Linked DNA regions of Pelodiscus sinensis. The protein of the gene in region 1 interacts with the protein of each later gene in a biochemical or structural test. Links are inferred from orthologs where the notes say so. Each region holds a gene or a part of one and is shown on either strand. Other genes may lie near its edges.

What was found.
Region 2: the proteins of SIAH2 (region 1) and DLST form a complex in vitro, tested with the Homo sapiens proteins (2 studies listed by BioGRID, with this or other methods). The link is inferred for Pelodiscus sinensis from reciprocal best matches to the Homo sapiens genes SIAH2 and DLST.

What each region holds. Positions count from the first base shown.
Region 1 is NC_134720.1:26,653,222-26,663,931, reverse strand, and holds the start of SIAH2 (E3 ubiquitin-protein ligase SIAH2), read left to right. Parts: upstream 1-4,484; 5' UTR 4,485-5,512; coding exon 5,513-5,917; intron 5,918-10,710. UniProt on the Homo sapiens protein: E3 ubiquitin-protein ligase that mediates ubiquitination and subsequent proteasomal degradation of target proteins.
Region 2 is NC_134714.1:44,201,709-44,212,418, forward strand, and holds the start of DLST (dihydrolipoyllysine-residue succinyltransferase component of 2-oxoglutarate dehydrogenase complex, mitochondrial), read right to left. Parts: upstream 5,696-10,710; 5' UTR 5,608-5,695; coding exon 5,539-5,607; intron 1-5,538. UniProt on the Homo sapiens protein: Dihydrolipoamide succinyltransferase (E2) component of the 2-oxoglutarate dehydrogenase complex. The 2-oxoglutarate dehydrogenase complex catalyzes the overall conversion of 2-oxoglutarate to succinyl-CoA and CO(2).

The DNA.
Region 1 (10,710 bases):
TAACCCTCATTTCATGAGGATTAAGGGAAGTTGAAAGAAGGCTGTTCTTCCTTCAACTTCCTGCTGTGTAAACAGTTCCAAAAGCCTAAAAAAGCTATTTCGATTTAAGCTACACCACTGACGTAGCTGAAGTTTCATAGCTTAATTCAATTTTAGCCCTAGCAGTCCTAAGGTATCACACCTGACTATCAAGGCCTGCTAAAAACATTTCAGAGTTACTGGCTGTGTGTGCACAGAAGTTGCTCTATACATCTTGGCTACGTCTACACTGGCATGATTTTCCGGAAATGCTTTTAATGGAAAAGTTTTCCGTTAAAAGCATTTTCGGAAAAGAGCATCTAGATTGGCAGGACGCTTTTGCGGAAAAGCACTTTTTGTGGAAAAGCGTCTGTGGCCAATCTAGACACGCTTTTCTGCAAAAAAGCCCCGATTGCCATTTTCCCAATCAGGGCTTTTTTGTGGAAAACAAATCTCTGCTGTCTACACTGGCCCTTTTGCGCAAAAGTTTTTCGGAAAAAGACTTTTGCCCGAACGGGAGCAGCATAGTATTTCCGCAAAAGCACTGACAATCTTACATGAGATCATCAGTGCTTTTGCGGAAATTCAAGCGGCCAGTGTAAACAGCTGTCAAGTTTTTCCGCAAAAGCAGATGATTTTGCGGAAAAACTTGCCAGTCTAGACACAGCTCTATGGTTTTACATGGTTGATAGTCTGCAGCTACAGCAGTGTCACAACACAGACTTTTCAATTTATAAACTAACTAGGCATGATTTCACAGAAAAGCATTTAAACATCACAAAACTTAATACACGTACAAATTTGGTTTTTTTTTAATAAATGAGGGTAATACACACACACACACACACACACACACACACACACACACACACACACACGTTACAACTCCTCTTTGGAAACTAATGTGTGTAAGCACAATTCACTCATTCTGCTGACAAGGAAAGGCACACAAGTTCTACCACTCCTTCAAGACTAACAGATGGTTAAAAAACAACAAATAGTCTTGCAGCACTTTAAGAACATAACAGAGACTAGGGATACTATTCCTTACCCAACCTGGGTAATAGCCTTCACAACCTCCTTAGGCAAGGTTACGATAAGCATGGGCACTTGTACACAGCAAGTAGTTCAGCCTTGTTTATAACCTTTACACATGGTCATCAAACAAAAAGACAAGCAGACCCAACCTTAAGTTTGACTCTTTACTAACTATAAGCAAATGGAAAAACTTAAAAAAAAAACAGCAAATAGTCTTGCAGCACCTTAAAAACTAACAAAACAGGTAGATGGTGTCATGAGCTTTCAAGGGTACAACCTACTTCTTCAGTTTCATCGGTCGTGGGTAGTGCCCATGAGGGTGTATGATATCATCTACATGTTTTGTTAGTTTTTAAGGTGCTGTAATACTATTTTAGAAAAGTCTGGCATTAGAAAAAATTCAGAGAAGGGCAACTAAAATGATTAGGGGTTTGAAACAAGTCCCATATGAGGAGACTAGGACTTCTCAGCTTGGAAAAGAGGAATAAAGAAAAGTTATTTACTTGTTCTCATAATATAAGAACTAGGGGCTACCAAATGAAATTAATGGGCAGCAGGTTTAAAACAAATAAAAGGAAGTTCTTCTTCACATAGCGCACAGTCAGCCTGTGGAACTCCTTGCCTAAGGAGGTTGTGAAGGTTATTACCTAGGTTGGGTAAGGAATAGTATCCCTAGTCTCTGTTGTGTTCTTAAAGTGCTGCAAGACTATTTGTTGTTTTTTAAGTTTTTCCAGTTACAGACTAACTGAGCTACCCCTCTGAAATTTATAATCAAAATCATTCCCTCTTTTATCCTCTATTTCACTCAAATTTTAAAGAGACGCTGTAAGATTATTTTTTCCTCATAACCAATGTTTCCTCATTTCTGTAATCAGAAGGGATTTTGAAAATGTCAAATTTGATTTTCTAACTCCACTTAGCTTGGACAATAAAAGCAATCAAATCAGTTCCACTTTCTGATTTTCAAGCACTACTGTATATAGGAAAATATGAAATATAAAGCAAAATAACAAAACATTCCAGCATCATCACAAAACACTTTGTTGTCATTAATTCATTTTAGATTTAATGAAACAGGCCTCAACACTGCAAACACTAATGTAACAATCCTGTTTATATTTACACATGAATAATCCCACTGAAGTTTGGGTTACATCCCCATTTGCTGTATTTTTTACTCATTTATACATGCTGGCATTTTTTGCTGCATCCATTCCTGATAATGGATTTTATAGAAACAATTTAATTTCAAGCACCAAAATCACAGTAACGCACTGCCTACTCTATTTTCTGAGTGGTGTCACAGAGTGTTCCATACTACAGGCAATGCAGTACTACAGTTTTTCATTCTGGTATGGCACTGCAGAGTGTATAAACCTACTCTTCCACTATCCTGCCAGGGACTGCACTATTGTCTTATAGAACTGGACTGTAAGAGACCTGTTCATTATCAGTTGATGCATTACATGGTGAGAGTATAAAATATAAGGTAAAGCTGCAATGGCTAAATTGATACTGAGGAAATGCAGGAGTTTGCAGCTCTCAAAATAATGGGATCAGAGCTTTGGCTTGTAGACAGGGAAATGCTGAGACAATCCAAAAACATCAGCAAAAGTCATTTTCTAAAAAGCGCCAAGGATGCATTTTGTTCTTTTCAGTATTACTGTGGCCAAGTGCTTTTAGGTGTTTACGCAGAGTTCCAGGATAGGGATGTAAGAGTCCACTATCTGATAAGCAAAAGCTTATCAGATAGTAGACTAGCCCCTCCACTATTTACTTCCCCCCTCCTTTGCTGCCTGTATCAGAGGCAGTGGGGGAGCAGGAGCCAGTGCTGGGGGGAGCTGGCTTAAAAGCTGGTTCTCCCAGTACCATCTCCGGGGGGGGGGGGGGTAAGGGCAGGGCAGGGAAGGCAGGGGGTAGTGGGGCTCTTAATACATTTAAAAAGCCAGGAGCAAACCCCACTGCAGCTCTCCTACTTATCAACTAATCAACTAGTCCAGGGCTACTCAACTTTGGAAGCCCCGGGTGCCACATTGATACTCACAGCACATGCCAAGGGCTGCAACTTAAGTGTGGTTGCATGTACATGCAAATATATATGCAAATATATGCAAATAGCTTCTTTCACTCTGACCGCATGAATACAAAGATTAAGGTAAGACTACATAACATGCAGGCCCCATTTAAGTTAGTTCTACTGATATTAATACAATGCAATATTTACCCAATTTCCACCCCTATGACAGCACTTATAATGAGCAATGACAGTGCAGGAATTTAACTACTAAAACACATATCAACAAAAGACCAGTCTAATGACTACTTTTTTGTTTTGGCACCCACCTGCTGGCCGCATGTTGAGCCCCGTGTAAACGCAAATCACAATGTGGGCTGCAAAAAAGTGGGCCGTGTGTTGAGTAGGCCTGGACTAATCAATGCAAAATCCATCAACTTAGATGATTAGATGATTAAATGAAATTTAATGTCCCTATTCCAGGATAACAACAGTCAATAGGCCAGGGGATACTTAAGAATTATGTTCCTTTAGAATCCTTTGATCACATTGTAATGAGAGGAGATATGCTCTGAAAGGATGCTGTGTAAACAAGATTCAATCAAATAAAATATAGGTAATTTAATTAGGCAGTCTTCTGTCATGCAGATTCAGTAATGTCAGAGTCAACTGTATGTTCGCTGGTTGGACAGAACAAGCAGTCCTCCAGCTTTCACCTCAGCAAAGGAAGAACCATTGGATAATTACATTTGTTTTTGCCCTTGTTCTGCAAATTCTTAGGCAACATGTGCATAACTTTAATGAAGGTATTAAGTGTCAAAATTATGTATATGCTTTAGTGTTTGCAAAACAGTCACATCCCTGATGTGAACCACAAAAAAACCCTGTAAAATTCAGAGGGCTTTTGCATTCTCTTAAAATCTGCCAAAGAAGTTTTTGAAGTGATTATGTTATGTGTCCACCTAAAGTTAGAATATATAGTGTGATTGCTAATTATAGAAGACTTGTGTAACATGATTTGAGATTAATTTTAAAAGTTTAAAATATACCAGGGTGCCCAACACCCTTTCTTTATACACATACTTGCAATTCCAGCAGACAGAGTCACAAAACCAACAGGACGATAAGGTTAGAAAGGGACTGCAAAGGTCATCCAGTCTAACCCCCGCCAGATGTAGGCTTTGTCCTCTAAAGCCATATGCCACACAGTCATCATCTCTTAGAACAAGGAGTGCATGGGAAGCACGACCCACCCCCTCCACCTACGTATGCAGTGTGCACTCCCGCAAGAGGTGGATTTTACATCAAGCCTCCAGTTGATGAGTCACACACGAGTGGAGGTGCTGAATTGCAAACAACCGCATTTCACCTAAAAATAAGTGAGGTAGGTCTCCTCTCCCACAACGTGCGGCCCTTAGCAATCTCTCACGCACACACAGTGCTCGTGTATCAAGTGCAGTTTGGGGGTTTTTTTGACATGTAAAATATCTACTGTTGGACTAGGTGCACCCCCACAGCCTCGGTGTATCCTCGCTCCCGCAGCCCAGGACAGTGTTTGGAGTAACTACCACAATTGTGCAGTGCCAAAACTCTGTAGCTCAGCCTGCCACCGTGGGCCGCAACTAGTCCCCCCGGTGAACCTCACCCGCCGCCGCGGGGCAGCACCTTCACCACCTTTTATTCCCGCGAAGTGCTGTGAGGATGGTGGCTGCGTAACAGACCACAGCTCCCTTGGTGCAAACTCGGTGCTTGCTGGGTCTGTCTGTAGCGTTTCCCGCACGGGCTTACGCCAGCCATGTTAGCAGTCCCGCAGAGACGGCCCTCACCCCACCACCCCCGGGCAGTGGAAAGGGGCTTTTATACGTCAGAGTCGCCAGCGTGTAGGCCTGCCTCCCCCAGTGGAGTGTCAGCAAATGCCTTCCTCCTCTGCTCCTGCTACTCTACCGCACTTCCCCAGCGGCTAGCCCGCCCACCCTCCCGTGTCTTCAAATAGACCCCCGTGTCTCCTCTCCCTTGGCTGGGCTGATCCGAGAGTAGACTAGGGACAGTACTAGCTGGCTGGGGCATGCTCAGTAAGAGCCAGGCACTGCGAGCAGAACCCGCCGGGGAGCAGGCTTCGGCGCTACACCCTCTTCCTGCCTCTCTCGCTTGCGTCAGATCAATGTTGCAGACTGTGCGCTGAGGATCCGCGCGTGGCGCGCTCGGCCCGGGAAACGCGGCGGCTGCCGGGGCCCCTGTCGGGCTGGTGGCCGGAGCGCCCCTCGGAACGCCGGGACATCTCTCTGGAACGCCGATACACTTTGGAACGTTCGCGGCGCCCGGTCGGCTGCTGGCGGCGGCCCGCTGTTGAGAGCGGAGCCGGTTCGTTGCGCGGGTCCCGCCTGCGGGGTTCGGTGAGTGGCCACCCGGGTGCCCGCAGTTCCATGGTTGGCTCGGACCGCGATGAGCCGCCCGTCCTCCGCCGGACCCAGCGCTAACAAACCCTGCGGCAAGCAGCAGCACGCCCCGTCCCCCGCTGCTGCCCCTGCTGCCGCCGCCACCATCTCGGCTGCCGGCCCCGGCTCCTCCGCGCTCCCCGCTGCGGCCGCTGTGATCTCAGGCCCCGGAGGAGGCGGCGGCGGCGGGCCGGTCTCGCCTCAGCACCACGAGCTGACCTCGTTGTTCGAGTGTCCCGTCTGCTTCGACTATGTGCTGCCCCCGATCCTGCAGTGCCAGGCCGGGCATCTGGTGTGCAATCAATGCCGGCAGAAACTGAGCTGCTGCCCCACGTGCAGGGGATCCCTGACCCCAAGCATCAGGAACCTGGCCATGGAGAAAGTGGCTTCAGCTGTCCTCTTCCCCTGCAAGGTAAGAGGCTCTTCCAAGTCCCTTTCTGCTCCGGCCGACACGGTCCGGGGGGTGACTGGATGGAGCTAGTCCTTGTGCCTTATTCATCCCCGGACCGGAATGCTGCTGTCATTTCTGTAGAGCCACAAAGCAAAGGCTCCTCTAAGAGCTGCCATAGGGAGCCCTTTCCCTCTGGGTCACTACTGAGATGGGGACCTGCCCTCTCAACGAATCGCAGAATTTTGCAGAGGGCCGGATTGTGAAAGTTTTGCTTCTCCTTTCCAGATTCCAGTCAACAGGAACATTCTGCACCTTCCAGCCATACCAGAGGGAGGCTCGTGTCCTAGTTATATATATGGCTTCTAAACAATTCCCTGCCCCCTTTCGCTCCCACAGCAATATGTGCCCAAGTAACCCCAGTAACAGCTGATCACCCCTTTCCAGCAGAAACACGGGCGGGGGCTTCTACTCCCAGCCCTGTCAGCAGACATTTGGCCTCCTGCTGGGAGCACAGTTCCTTTCCCCAAGAGTATTAAGAGTACAAAGAATATATATCCTGCTCTTTGTCTTAAAGATACCCACAGCTTGACTCTTGTTTACAAATTAAGTGCCGCTGTCTTGTCTTAATCCTGTGTGATAGCCCTGCCGGTACACAGTGGTATTATGTGTAACTACACCATTAAGGCTTTTAAAACAATCAACTATTAAAATGTTACATAAACATCTAATTGTTAAAAGTAATATCACTTAGATTCTTGAATAGATCGTTTTTCACATTGCAAAGTGTTTAGACCATCTTAATGCATTATTCTTCATGCTTGCAATTTAATTTGATGACTAAGAGGGACACAATATATTTTAAAAGTCATGATAACTAAATGTGTTCTGTCTGTTATTTAGAACACTATTATAATTCCATCAGATTAAAGAAAATAAATCTGTCCTTCCATTTTCAGTCTGCTTACTTTGTACCAATTACTTGGTATTTAATCAATTTCACATCTTTTCCCTGGCATGGTCTGTGTAGTTTGGGTGGGTGTCTCTCTCATAATAATTAAGGGCAGAAAACATATATTTAAATAATAGGAAATGTGATAGACTAAGGGAATCAGGAACAGATAAAGTATCAGAATCTGCTGTTTATAACAGGTTAGATTTCAAATTGAGAGTGCCTTTTTAAATGAAGTGTTGATTACTTCTCCCACCCCAATAAACTACAAAGAATATTTAGAAAAGCTTAATCTGAATTCAAGAGCTTTGATTTCCTTTGTTGTGGTTGTTGATTTAAAGTAGATTGTGTGAATTATCTTAAAATATGTCCTTACGGAAATAAGCATACAAGGTGGATTATACAGATTCTTGCTACCCCTAGCAGAACTTTGATATTTACAAACAAGCCCAGATCCTGCAGTTTGACTCCACACAAGCTTAAGAATTCATATTATCACTCACACCTACTTGAAGAAGTGGGGCAATAGGGAATGAAACATAATAAGTGGAATGGGCTGTTGTACTCCTTTGTCTTAAATTGAGAGGCTTGACTGGAATTGGTGCTTAGAGTGAAAATATTTTCCTTCTGTTTGAAAAAAAGTGACAGGAGGCCATAATTTAAGCTGCTCATTTTCCACCACCCATGTATGCCCTGTGTTCTGCAGTTTGTCCTTACAACTTCAGTTTGTTTTACATACTCGTTTTATAAGGGTTTTTTATGCCATGCTGCTATTTGGGGTCAGTAGTGTTAGCCAACAACAGAGCTCCAGGAGTGATGTTTACCTGGCCTGAACCAAAGATTGAAAAGCTTCCTCAATTCTTATTGCCTGTCATTATCTGTTTTTTAAAACATTTATTCTTACCTGGAACCTTTTACTCATTATGCTGGGCAAACTTAAAAACCAGAAGAATGCAAGAAAAAAATTGGTGCACATTTCCTAAAATTTGGTGTAAATTTTAATGTGTCCAGTCAAAAGTGTTCCACCCATCTAATCCCCCCACCCCAAAAGTGAGCACTCCTTTAGGCAAGGACCTGGACTTTACAGCAAGGTACTGATATTTTCACTATAGGAGTCAGTGCTTAGTGGAAAGTCACTAACTCCTGTGCCACCTATGCACTGAGCTCAGTGTAAAATCGGAGGTGGATTCTACACCAGCATCTCTTAGCGGGTTCTGAAATCCAGGCTGTGAACATTGAGGGGAAATGGGCAGAACATTAGCTGTTGCAGCATAGAAGTTGCCTTGTGCTGAGAAGTCTTTCAGGCCAGCCATACCACCCTTTTCATGGCCAGTAACTTGCCAATCGGTTCTAAAAGGCTGTTGACCAGCTAGCGAAGCTGTGACAAAGTTGGGATTTTCTGTAATGTTTTTATGAAAGGCATGCATACTTTGCATTGCTGCCCAGAGGAGGAAAAAGAGTTAAGTCTGTTCTTGGAAGCAGCACAGGACATGAGGTGTGTGGGTGTTGCTATGCTCTCTGGCCTGCAATGAATAGGGTTGTTGAGGAACTGGCTGGAACCTGCTGAAAGCAACCCTTATGGATGCTGCCTCCAAAAGAGACAATGGAAAACCTCAGGGGCTAGAACATTGACACCTAGGAAACAATGATTGAAAGGGAGGATAAACTTAAACAACAAATGGTCTGGTAGCACTTTAGAGACTAACAAAACATGTAGTGTCATGAGGTTTCATGGGCACATCTGAAGAAGTGGGCTCTGCCCACAAAAGCTCATGATACCATCTACATGTTTTGTTAGTCTATAAAGTGCTACCAGAACATGTGTTATTTTTTGTTTATCCTGTACATACTAACTCAGCTACCCCCTGAAGCTTCTAAAAGGAAGGAGGTTTTCTCCCCATCTGTCTGCAGGAAAGCAGAGCAAAATCCCCCACCTTGAGAACAAAGAACTGACCTGGAAAGGAAAAGGGGATTGGCTTCTGGAAGAGTCTAACTGCTCTCACCTGGATAGGTAAGGAGAGAAAGAGAGAGGTGGAGTCCATTAGAACATGGCTTGCTCATTCACTGGTTTGACCAGTATTGACAGAACTCTACTCTCTCTTTGCCAACTCAAGAACACTTAGATTCTGTGCACCAAGTGACAAATACTTTGTTGCCTTGTTTAGAAAAAGCTGATCCTCACTGGGACCACTGTGCCCAAAGGATACAAGCCTCTTGCAGGGGTCTGGCTTAGCAAGATTTGTTATAGAGAGTCAGAGAGATGAATACTCAGTTTTAGAGGCCAGGGACCTGTCTGTGGAATTGTGTGATGTTGGGGGATTTGGTATGTCACTCCCCAGAGACTTCTCATACATTAGAGGGCAATGACCAGACCTTGTGAATCCACGAGTGAAGCAAAAGTGTGTGAGTATTTGGTTGTGTGACAGTCTCAACCAGTTGCATTGCTGAGCAATCCAAAGTTGTAATAAACATTAGTATTACTGGATTTCCTTAAAGAATTATTTTAAATTACAAAGTGGAAATTGATGCATGAGAGGTGTGATGCAACTGAACTGTAGTGTAAGTGCTGATTGAGTTAATGTTAAATTTCATTGCCAGCAAGACCTAGAGACACAATGGTTTGCAGTTACGGGAAGATTTCCAGGATTTTTCTGGAGTTAATCAAAAGTGTCAATAGAAGGTTTGTTTGGCTGTTTGAAGGGGAAGATGCTTTGTTGTTTTTCAAATAATTTTTATTGTGAGGTTTTCTTTGTTTTAAGACCCTTGAAGTTGTGGGTCTCTGAATACTGTTCAATGCAGAGCCCTGGCCCAGAGTACACTAAGGGTGTGTCTAGACTACAGGGTTTTGTCGACAAAAGTGGACTTTTGTCGACAAAACTATACTTGCGTCCACACTACCGCTGAGTTCTGTAGATATAACGTCGACAGAACTCAGCAGTTTTGTCGACGCTGGTAAACCTCATTTCACGAGGCATAACACCTTCTGTCGACAGAGTTCTGTAGACAGAAAGCATTATTGCATGTAAACTGTCCTTGCGTCTACACTGCCATGTCGACAAAGCAGCTTGCTTTGTTGACAGAACTGAATGTAGTGTAGACACTCTTTGTCGACAGAAGCTTTGTCGACAGTATTTGTCGACAAAGCTTCTGTCGACAAAATGCTGTAGTCTAGACATACCCCAAGGACGTTAAGTAATTTTCAGCATGGAACTCTGCTGGCACCCCTGTGAAGCATCAGGTAAATGCCCTTTGCAGTACAGTGTATATATGGCTCTGCTAAGTTTTCTGTTTGTAAAGATATATTTTTAAAGCTTTGCAAACAGAATAAGAAAAAGAGGGCACGTACCCGACACTCTATGGTCTAGCTCACATGCTTCAGCTGTGTGGAGTGTCATACATCACAATGACAGGAATTTACTGATATTTTTAATTGACTACTGTTGTTCTTGTTTGCAGTAAAGCTGATGCAGAACATCTCTCTTGTCCTTCTTTTGGCACAGTCAACCTGCAGTTATGAAGCTAGAAGTGTTTTGGGAGGTATTTTTATTCTGCTTTTAAAAGAACTATTCAGTGATGGAATGGGGTATCCATCATATCTGTTCAACTAGTTTTCTGTAGCCCTTCTTGAGGGAGTGAGAGAGTACTGACAAGCTGCCCAGTCACAAATTATAGTTGACATCTTTAGATTTAGTTCAGAAGTTTTCAGTTTTTCATAAGGTACATTAAGTATTTAAATCTTACTGCATTTTTTTATTTTTTTTAAAACTTAATGAACTGTTTTGAAGTCCATATCTCTTCCAATATTCATTTGACTGCACTAGAATTACATCTCCATTCTTAAAACTTTAGCTAGAGATCCTTAACC
Region 2 (10,710 bases), on another chromosome or scaffold:
TGAGAAACTGAATGAGTCATGGTGTGACCTTGTTGCCAAGAAGGCTAATGACATACTGGGCTACATTTGTAGGAGCATTGCCAGCAGATCTAGGGAAGTGATTATTCCCCTCTATTCAGCACTGGTAAGGTCACAACCGGAATACTGAGACCAGTTTTGTGCCCCCCACTACAGAAAGGATGTGGGCAAATTGGAGCAAGTCCAGCAGAGGGCAACAAAAAAGATTAGTGGGCTGGGCACACGACTTATGAGGAGAGGCTGAAGGAACTGAGTTTATTTAGTCTGCAGAAGAGAAGAGTGAGCGGAGATTTGATAGCAGCCTTCAACTGCTTGAAGGGGGTGGTCCAAAGAGGATGGAGAGAGGGTGTTCTCAGTGAGGACAGAACAAGAAGCAATGGTCTCAAGTTGCCATGGGGGAGGTCTAGGTTGGATATTAGGAAAATATATTTCACTAGGAGAGTGTTGAAGCACTGGAATGAGTTGCCTAGGGAAGGGGTAGAATCACCATTCTAAGAGAGTTTTAAAGCAAGGCTTGGCAAAACACTGACTGGAATGATTTAGATAGGGTTGATCCTGTGTTGAGCAGGGGATTGGACTAGATGCCTCCTGAGCTCCCTCTCAATCCTATTCTTCTATGATTCTATGAAGTTTCAAGGTGCAGCTACACGAGATCCCTGCCCTACTAAGTACTGTCACTCATTTAGATTAGGGTTGTTAAAACACATTTATTTTTAAAATGAGTAAGTGCTGTCATTTTCAACGGTTACACGTTTACACATTGAGGAGCAGGTACTTGTGGAGAGCTGGCTTAAAAGTCTCCTGCCTCGCTCCCCACTGCTTTTGATACAGAGGCAGAGGGTGTATGTGCATGTAATCATGGGGGTTAACCAATGAGACCAGGCTTATTGGTTAACTGTACACAAGTACATGTTAGCATCTTCCAACCTCGAACATCCAAAAATGCCTACAAATTATATACCAGGATCACTTCAACCACCATTGAAATGAAGTGTCCCTCTAGGGTGGGACACAAAAATAATTATTTCTCATTAGTCAAGGCAGGAAATGAAAGAATCCTATTTCTGTTAAATCTCAACTTTGTGTATCCCATATACATGTCTGAAAATTCCTATAGATCAGATAAAACAAACTGCCCGAATTGATGAGATGTTATAGATACATCAGAGGCCGCAGGAATTAGATGGGAATATAAAGGGAACTTTTTATATTGTGAAAACTGGACAAATGTAATACAACAAGGAAACTTACTCTGGAGTTTTGGTGACTGGAGCTCTGAGACTTTCACAATTTAGTCACAAGTACTCTCATTAGGGATGTGAATGTTTAACTGGTAAGGGCTGGAGCAGCCTCCGGCCCACTGTAGAGCTGCTCCAATCCATGGGATTGAGCAGCCCCTCTTCCACCACTTGCCCTATTTAATTGGTTAACTGGTAAAACATATTGTTAACTAATTAAATGGGATTTTACATCCCTAATTCCCATCTGGATTTACAGCCTCATGTTACACAGTTTCTTAAACATATTTATATAAAATATCTAATATACTAAGCAAAGCGAGCTACCTTCATCCCACAGATGTTTCCCTTGGGGTAATTTGCGGCAGGGTTAATCCAAGCATCCCCATCAGAATCTTTGTGGAGGAAGAAGTTCTGTTTCAGATTCTGTAGGAGCAACAGACTCCTGTGTGTGCCTGGAGAGACCCTGCACTGCTAGGATCCAGATCACTATAAGCATAGACTTTAGGAAGCCCATGCTACAATGGGTGGCTGTGCAAAACAAAATCCACAGATGGTACTTTCCACGTGAGCTGTGGTTTTCTGTGTTTTAAGAACTGCTATTGTGACCAGGGAAATTCTAAAATGCTCTAACATAACTGGGCCCCCTTATCCTAAAGAACTGAAATCTTATGTATGAGCCTAGGCAGAGGGCCTACCAGTGAAGGGAATAACACAAGAATGCCTATTTTGGGTCAGACCAATGGTCCATCTAGCCCAGAATTCTGTCTTTAAACAATGACCAATCCCAGGTGCTTCAAAGGGAAAGAACACAGCAGGCAATCCTCAAATGATCCATCCCATCATCCAGTCTCAGTTTCTGGAAGTCATAGGCTACCCAGTACCATTTTCACAAAAATCCCCTGGCAACAAGTTCCACAGGTTGATTATGTGTTGTGTGAGGCCAGAGGTGAGAAGCCATTCTGATTAAGGATGTAAAATCCCTTTTAATCAGTTATCGGTTAAACGTTATGTGTAACCCGGTTAATGACTTAAACGGGAGTGGCCCTCTTGCCTGTGGTATGGCAGGGGCTGCTCTGATCAGGCCAGGTCCACCAGTTAACTGTAACCAGTAAGCATCCCCTGGCAAGGGTGATGCTAACTAGTCAGAGTTTACCGGTTAATCATCCACATCCCTAATCCTGATTCAAGACGCTGAAAGTCTCTATGCACGGCACTGTGTTACTTAGGGCTTTCTTGCTTCTGCTCCTCAGGGGTGGTGTTCCAGAGCATACAGCCACATGTTTGGCAGGGGAGTCATTAGCAGGAAACATCCCATTTCCAGAATAAATCTGCTGGGATTGCATCTAATCTCAAGGACACTAAGACGCTTGGCATTAATGTCTGAACAAACAACTAATATTGTCATACCCTTCACAGGAAAGTAGGAGCCTGAACAGGAAGCAAAATCTATAGATCTAGCAAACTGACTGTAGCACTACGAATCTCTTAACTTACACTTCCCCAGATCAAGCTACCAATTAATTTAATCTTTCCCTACCTTCACATAACTTCTCAGAACCATTCAACATGCTGGAACCAGTCTATCACCAAAGGCATCCCCTATATATTTAACCATCTCCATACTATCTTTTAGGGAAATGCCACTCATGACATTTGAAAAGTCCCCCTATGGAATACGGAAGATGACTGTAGGCATGCTGTGTGTCCTCAGTCCTATACTGGAAACAAGAGCCAGTTCAGATAAGAGCATTGAGAGAATAGAATCACGCTGGGCAAAGCCAGTTTCACGGCTCCAAGCACAACTTCCAATAGACAAAGGGCTGGAAAGCTTTGGAAGTGGCATGACAGACCAATCACTCTGTGGCAAAGACTTCTGCACACACATAGGAAATAGTGGAAGAACTGCTTACAGCAGAGAGGGCTGCTGCATTGACAGAGAGGGCTGCCAGTGTAACCCATTGCTGGAAACAAGAGAACCAAGTATTTCAAATTACTCATTGATTTCAACAATTAGTAATTATACACATCAGGTAGATAGAGAAGGAGACAGGTGCTAAGATGCAATGCAGACGGTAATGCTGAGCAGACAGAAGATATCGTTACCAAACTGGCAGCCTGACCTGTTCTCGAATTCCCTGCCAATCTCCCCACTAACTTTTATGATCCTTTCTTTCCTAAATATATCCCAAAGGTCTCATTCACTGTGAATTCTGCTGTTTTCAGTGTTGTAAACTACACTCTTTCTTTGGACCCTTTCCTCTGAGGGCTTCTGGGGCCCTCCTCTCTGTTCAACCCCTCTATAGGTAGTAATTCTCCTCACTTTTGTGCCCAATGGCAGTAGTAAATGGCCTTCTCTTCCTCCTCTCTCAGCACTTGTACATGATTCCTATGTTGGCAACTCATCTCTTGTCTTCAATCCCATAATGCTGCTTGTCTCTTCAAATTCTCTTTCTGCATATCTTCTTTCTTCCTCACATATCAAAACGCCAACACTTTTCTTCCTTCTCCTTATCTCTATTCCTGCTGACCACTCCCCTATCTTCCTAGTCACTCAAGCCCACAGACCTGAGGGTCATCCTCGTCTTCTCTTCTCTCCTCCTGCCATTAGATATCCACCAAATTCTGGCGAGTCTCCCTCTGCATTTCCAAAATCTGCTTCTTCCTCCTTATTCTCAATGTCAAAACTTTTTGTCTATGCCCTATTATCTCTTGCTTGATGACCACTACTTCCTTGGCCTTCTTACCCAAACACAAACATTTCTCAATTGATTTCACAGCTAATTCTACATCAAGTAGAAATGCCTTGTCCTTGCTATCATCTTTCTGCCCTAATTACACACTCATTACTGAGGTACCCAATTGCTACTTCTTGGCTGTGTCTAGACTGGCAAGTTTTTCCGCAAAAGCAACTGCTTTTGCAGAAAAGCTTGCTAGCTGTCTACACTGGCCGCTTGAATTTCTGCAAGAACACTGACAATCTCATGTAAGAAATCAGTGCTTCTTGCGGAAATACTATGCTGCTCCCGTTCCGACAAAAGTCCTTCTGCGCAAAAGGGCCAGTGTAGACAGCTCAGATTTGTTTTGCACAAAAAAGCCCCGATCGCAAAAATGGCGACTGGGGCTTTTTTGCGCAAAAGCGCGTCTAGACTGCCACAGACCCTTTTCCGCAAAAAGCGTCCGTGCCAATCTAGACACTCTTTTCCGCAAATGCTTTCAAATGGAAAACTTTGCAGTTAAAAGCATTTGTGGAAAATCATGCCAGTCTAGACGAATCCCCAGTCTTCTGCTACATTTCCATTTATATTTTGCCAATTTCTCCCCATAACAAAGCTTCCCACAATACAGTTTTTGAAACAGAGATCATTCTTTAGGTGCCTGTAAAGTTTTATGAACACTTAAGGTGCTGTCAAAATTACTTGCTTCTCTAGATTAACAATACCAATGCAAGTCGCATAAACCAGATAGAAAGCTGTCACAAGGATGGTATATGTGTACCAAAGAGACTGTGTTTTAGGAGATACATATTAGGAGAGCAGAATATGAGTGGGTATAAAAAAATCCTGGTATCAGACAGCTACAAAGATGTTTACGGTGGCATAGCTGTCTTTCTGTTTATTCCATGTAGGATGACCTCCTGATAGTAGAGCTGACAATAGGCTGTCCTTGTAACTCCTCCTCAGGAGGGCTCCAGCACACAGCTTGCAACAGTTGCCTGCCCAAGAATAAGAGCCACAAGGATGGTATTAGGGAGTTCTGAGGGCAAATGCTGGGCAGGCTATCAGGCTGCAGTTGAGGCGGCCCTGCTTGCCCAACCGGTGCTGTCTCTGGCTATGCTCAGGACCTATTCCATCAGCCCCATCCTGCAGGGTCTGGACTCAAATAGCCCTCGCCATTCGGGACTCCGGCTTTAGACTGGCAGGCGTATCCTTGGGGCGCGGGGTTTCCCTCAGCTGCCACTCCCCACGCCAGGCCGGTCCACGGACAGACCTCACAAGGGATTTGCTCCGAGGGGGGGGAGGGGAGGATCTGAGGCAGCGCCCTGTTCGCCGGGGCCCCAGCTTGGGGCACGGCTTGTGGGACACGTTCCCCTGAGGCTCGCGGTGCGCACGGCGGGTGCGCAATGGGGGTCCCACGAGGGAGCGGCCCGCGGGGGACCGGGCGCAGGAGTTTCTCCAGGAGTCGGCCCAGAACGGGGACGTGACACCGCGTCCCGGTGCCCTTGGCGCTGCTGCCCGTTCGTCCCTTCCGCTCCCGCCCCCGCCCCCGCCCCGGGCGGTACCTGCCGGAGCGCGCAGAGTGAGCGGCCAAGCGCCCCGCTCAGACAGCGGGACCGGGACAATAGCAGCATCGCGGCGGCGGCAGCGACGGCAGGAGCAGCCGGAGGGCGGACACCGGAACCAGGCCCGGCACAGGGCGGAAGCGGGCCGGGGCGGACCAACCTCGGGCGCATATGCGGGGGGGGGGGTGTGTCACAGGGGATCGTACCAACCACGGGGCTGGGGACGCAGACAGTGAATTCTCCTAAGGAGCAGCACGAGTGCACCCGAAGAGCAAAGCTGGTGGGAGCAGAAGGGAATGGCGGAAGGAATGAACCACCCCGAGGCGATGGGGGGGGGCGTGAGGACTGAACCACCCCGTGGGGTCTCATGAAGTGGGGCTGAACCGCCCTGTTGCATGGCAGTGGGGGCAGAGCCGCGCTCAGGACAGGACCTCAGAGAACACCCGGAAGCGGCGTGACACCCGCAGGGTGCACCGAGCGGAAAACGTGCCCCACCCTGCCCCAGTCCAGACGTCTCGCTCCGGCTCAGTACTCACAAGGCTGGTGTCGGCAGTGGGATAGGAGGAGGGTTTGATGGAGGAGGCGGGGCCAGTATATAATGAGCCGTTGTGCGAGAAGCAGGCAGATGCGCTGGCATGGTTGGTAGAGTAGAGGGCTGGGAGGGTGAATCAAGGAAGGGCAGAGAAGCTATTCAGATGAGAACAAGGAATTGGAACCTGATGAGGAATGACAGTGGGGGAGCCCTTACAAGGGTGCAGAGATGGATTCTGTGGTCAGTGACTGGCCATGAAGGTGATCTTGGCACTTGTAATTTGAATGGACCAGAGGATGCAATATGGGTGTCAGAGAAGATGAAGTTATGGCTAGGAGGATGGGAGATAAGGGAGTCACAGAACTGAACGAAGTAAGGGTAAAGCTCATCTGTTCAGAAGACAGAGTATTCGCAGGGGCCAATCCAAGGCTGTGTCTAGACTGGCAAGTTTTTCCAGAAAATCAGCAGCTTTTCTGGAAAAACTTGCCAGCTGTCTACACTGGCCACTTGAATTTCCGGAAAAGCACTGACGATGTCATGTAAAATCATCAGTGCTTTTCCGGAAATACTATGCTGCTCCCATTCGGGCAAAAGTCTTTTTCCGAAAGACTTTTGCCCAAAAGGGCCAGTGTAGACAGCATAGTCCTGTTTTCCGCAAAAAAAGCCTCGATCGTGAAAATGGCGATTGGGGCTTTTTTGCGGAAAACCGCGTCTAGATTGGCCACGGACGCTTTTCCGGAAAAAGTGCTTTTGCGGAAAAGCATCCTGCCAATCTAGACACGCTTTTCCGAAAATGCTTTTAACGGAAAACGTTTCCGTTAAAAGCATTTCTGGAAAATCATGCCAGTGTAGACGTAGCCCAAGAGTATAGTACATACTCTCAGGATTGAGACCCCCACAAACCTCACCACCTTTCATTCCAAGTTCTTACAATATTCTTTAAACAGAAATACCCTGTGCCCATCATTCTCACATACTATAGCTCATAGGCTGTGGGAAAGAGAAAGATCCACACATGACTGATGCTAGTCACTCTGCTGATGTAACTCACACACCTGCTAGGTTTGGTGTACTGTCCCACTTAGTGGTACTGAGACCACTTACAGAAGGAGTGGGAAACCTAAGGCAACCAGCTTACCTGTATCTGGCTCCTGAGGCTCAGGGCTCCCCCCCCCCCCCCCCCAAAGCAGGCTGATTAAAGTTGCTATAATCCTCTTTGTTTTCTCCTGCTAAAATCACACTAGTGACAGCTACAGTAAATTACTTTCTGGACATTACATTTGATATAAATAAATGTTTCAGTTGCCACAGGCATGTTACCTGGATAGAAATAGGAGGTCACCTGCACAACTGGAAATGGCAAGAAAGGAGCATGAAACAGCTTCCTCTTAACATGAGGTGAATGCTACTACAAAGTTTAAGAAACTCTGTACTAAACCTGCAATAGTCTGTGATCCTGTAATTAAAAACTGCATTGTAATGAGGCATCTGTTCCAAAAGGGAAAGTAAAGATTGAGTGTACATCCATAATTAAGGCTTTTCATAACTTTTGAGCATCTATGTAACCATAATACTCTGCAAAGAATTTTGCAGGGAATTTCCTAGGAATTTTTTAAAGGAAAAATATTAGAAAAATCAATAAGAGACATTCTCCAATACTTTGAAACTCTGCTGGCATGTAAACAAAAAGGAAATAGAGCCCTAGGGATGTTAAATTTAGTTTAATCAACTAATCAACTAGTCGATAGATTTTCCATTGATTAGTCAATAAGTGGGGGAGCAGCAGTGGGGTTAGCTCCCTGCCCTGGAAACTAACCCCTCTGCAGCTCTGCCTTTTAAATGTATTAAGAGCCTCTTGGCTCTTAATACATTTAAAAGACTGAAGTGCAGCAGGGGGGACCCTGCGTGAGCTGGGACAGCTGATTCCCGGTTCGTGCTGGGTCCCCTCCCGTGTCTTAATACATTTAAGAGCCCTCCCTACCGGCTCTTAATACATTTAAAAGGCTGGAGCTCAGCAGGGGACCTGGCACAAGCTGACAATCAGCTGGTCGGGCTTGCGCTGGATCCCCGCTGCTGCACTTCTGATTTTTAAAGTATGAAGAGCCAGGTGGCTCTTAATACATTTAAAAAGCAGAGGCACAGCACCCGGTCCCCACTATCCCCCTGCTTCCCCTGCCCCTTGCAGAGACAGTGCTGGGGGGAACCAGCTTTTAAACCAGCTCCCCCCAGCCCTAGGTCTGCCCCTCTTGCTGCCTCTATCAGAGGCAGCAAGTGGGGGGAAAGCAACTAGTTGAGGGACTAGTTGACTACCCAATAAGCTTTTGCTTAGCAGATAGTCGACTAGTCATTTATATCCCTAAGATCTTGTAAAGTGCCAAATCTAGAACTTTTTCAGTTATTCTTCACTGGAATGCTGCTGTCCTTGAGCAAGACACTGGAAAACAGCTGTCCTTAACAAAAGATTCCTGCCTAACAGGAAAAAAATATGCATGGTAGGCTTTCATTAAACATCTCTCTAAGTATCTGGAGGGAAATTAGAAAAATAAAAAATTTACTTAGAGTTGATTAATTCAGCTGAGCAGGTGAATTCAGTCTGGTTCCAGGGAAAATCCATCCTCAGCAGAGCCGTCCATCAAGATAGCTAGTTACAAAGATGACATCATCTAAACAAGCTTTCATTGGTTAATCACATTGTTCCATTAAGGAGAGGTGAAAGACTCTTTAGTCACTCTTTGCTATCCATTCCTGAGGAAAGGTAGATTATTTCCCACAGAATACTTACTTCCAGTTCTGAGAGCAGGAAGAAACTTACAAGCTACTGTGGACTACTGGTTCAAATTTCTAAAGTTACTGTTTGCAAAGTGCTTTAAAAATGTAAAATACTAAGTACAATTATTTGTTACTAGGGTTTGTCAAGTGATTTAAAAATTAATCATGATTAATCATGAGATTACAAAATTAACTGATTAATTGTGCTGTTAATAATAGAATATAATTTATGTAAATATTTTGGATGCTTTTCTACATTTTCAAATATATTGATTTCATTTACAATACAGAATACAAAGTATACTTAATATTATCATTTTTATTATAAATATTTTCATGTAAAAAGATAAACAAAATACATTTTATTTATCAATTCACCTCTTAAAAGTATTATAGGGCAATCTCTTTATTGTGAAAGTGCAAGTTGCAAATGTAATTTTTTTTGACACGTAACTGCAAGCAAAATCAAAACAATGTAAAACTTTAACACCTACAAGTCCACTCAGTCCTAATTCTTGTTTAGCCAATCACTAAGACAAATACGTTTGTTTACATTTATATGGGAGATAGTGCTGCCCACCTCTATTTACCATGTCACCTGAAAGTGAGAACAGGTGTTTGCATGGCACTTTTGTAGCTAGCTTTGCAAGCTATTTACATGCCAGAGATGCAAAACATTCATACACCCCTTTCATGCTTTGGCTACCCTTCCAGAGGGCATACTTTTAGGCTGATGGCAATTGTTAAAAAAAGTATTAATTAAATTTGTGACTGAACACTTTGGGGAGAATTCTATGTCTCTTGCTCTATTTTACCTGCATTCTGCCGTGTATTTCATGTTACCAGACCAGGTTCAAGCTCCAAAATCCTCTAAGATGTTGCTGTCTTCCCATCTTCATTATTTCTATGTTTTTATATTGCAGTGCAATCCTGTTTTGTTTAGCTTTGCAGGAGAACAAAATCTTCTCTATTAGGACTCTTCTGACACAGAGGTGCCCTCTTTTTTGCCCCCCCCCCCCATTCTCATATGGCCCAAGAGAGATGCTGTCAGCCAGCCTCAATATTGTCACAGAGCTCCTGAAACCTTCTGAACTCTCTCTAAGATGGTGTCTAGAGAATTATCACAATCAGAAAGGCATTGCTCTCATGTGCAGCAGTGCATTCCTCACCAGGTACAATATAGGAGATTTCATCTTCTGCTGAAACACAGCAGGTGTCATACTAGTCTAGAGGAATTGTTGGTGTGAACTGGCATAGCAGAGGTGAAATTCTGAGTGAAAATTACAGATTGTGGTATTAGGGACTGTGCCATTCAGGGCTGAGCTAAGATGCGGGGAAGCCCTTGTTCCATTCCTGCTCTCACTGCTCATCCCTGCCCCAACGATCTGCTCCTGTACCATTCTATCTTGATCTATGGCAGCTCGTGTTCCTCCTGTCTTAGCTGCCTCAGACATAGCTCTGTCAATGCATAGATATCCTGACCTGTAACAAGTTAGAACCTAGAAGCTAATGCACAGAGCTCTTTATGCACTATCTTTATGGTCCTATCTGAAAAGCAGACTTCACATATTAAAGACTCTCTGAACAGCTGACTTTCTGTGGTCCCCAGTGGCCCAGCTGCAGATACAAGGTCTCCCTCCCTGATCCCAGGCTCTGTCTGAACCTGACCTCTTCTTCTCTCATTTGCATATTCAGAAGCACTTGAAGCTGGTTGGCTGCTATTGGCTTTCCCATCCCTTTCTTTAGCAGGGACAAAGCTCAGAGGTTTCCTCAATGCCCCTGCCAGTGCTTCTGTGCTTCTTCTCATTTGCCAGTTTCCAGGCACTCTCTGGGAACACCAGGTACCCTGCTGGCACCTACCACCCTCAAAC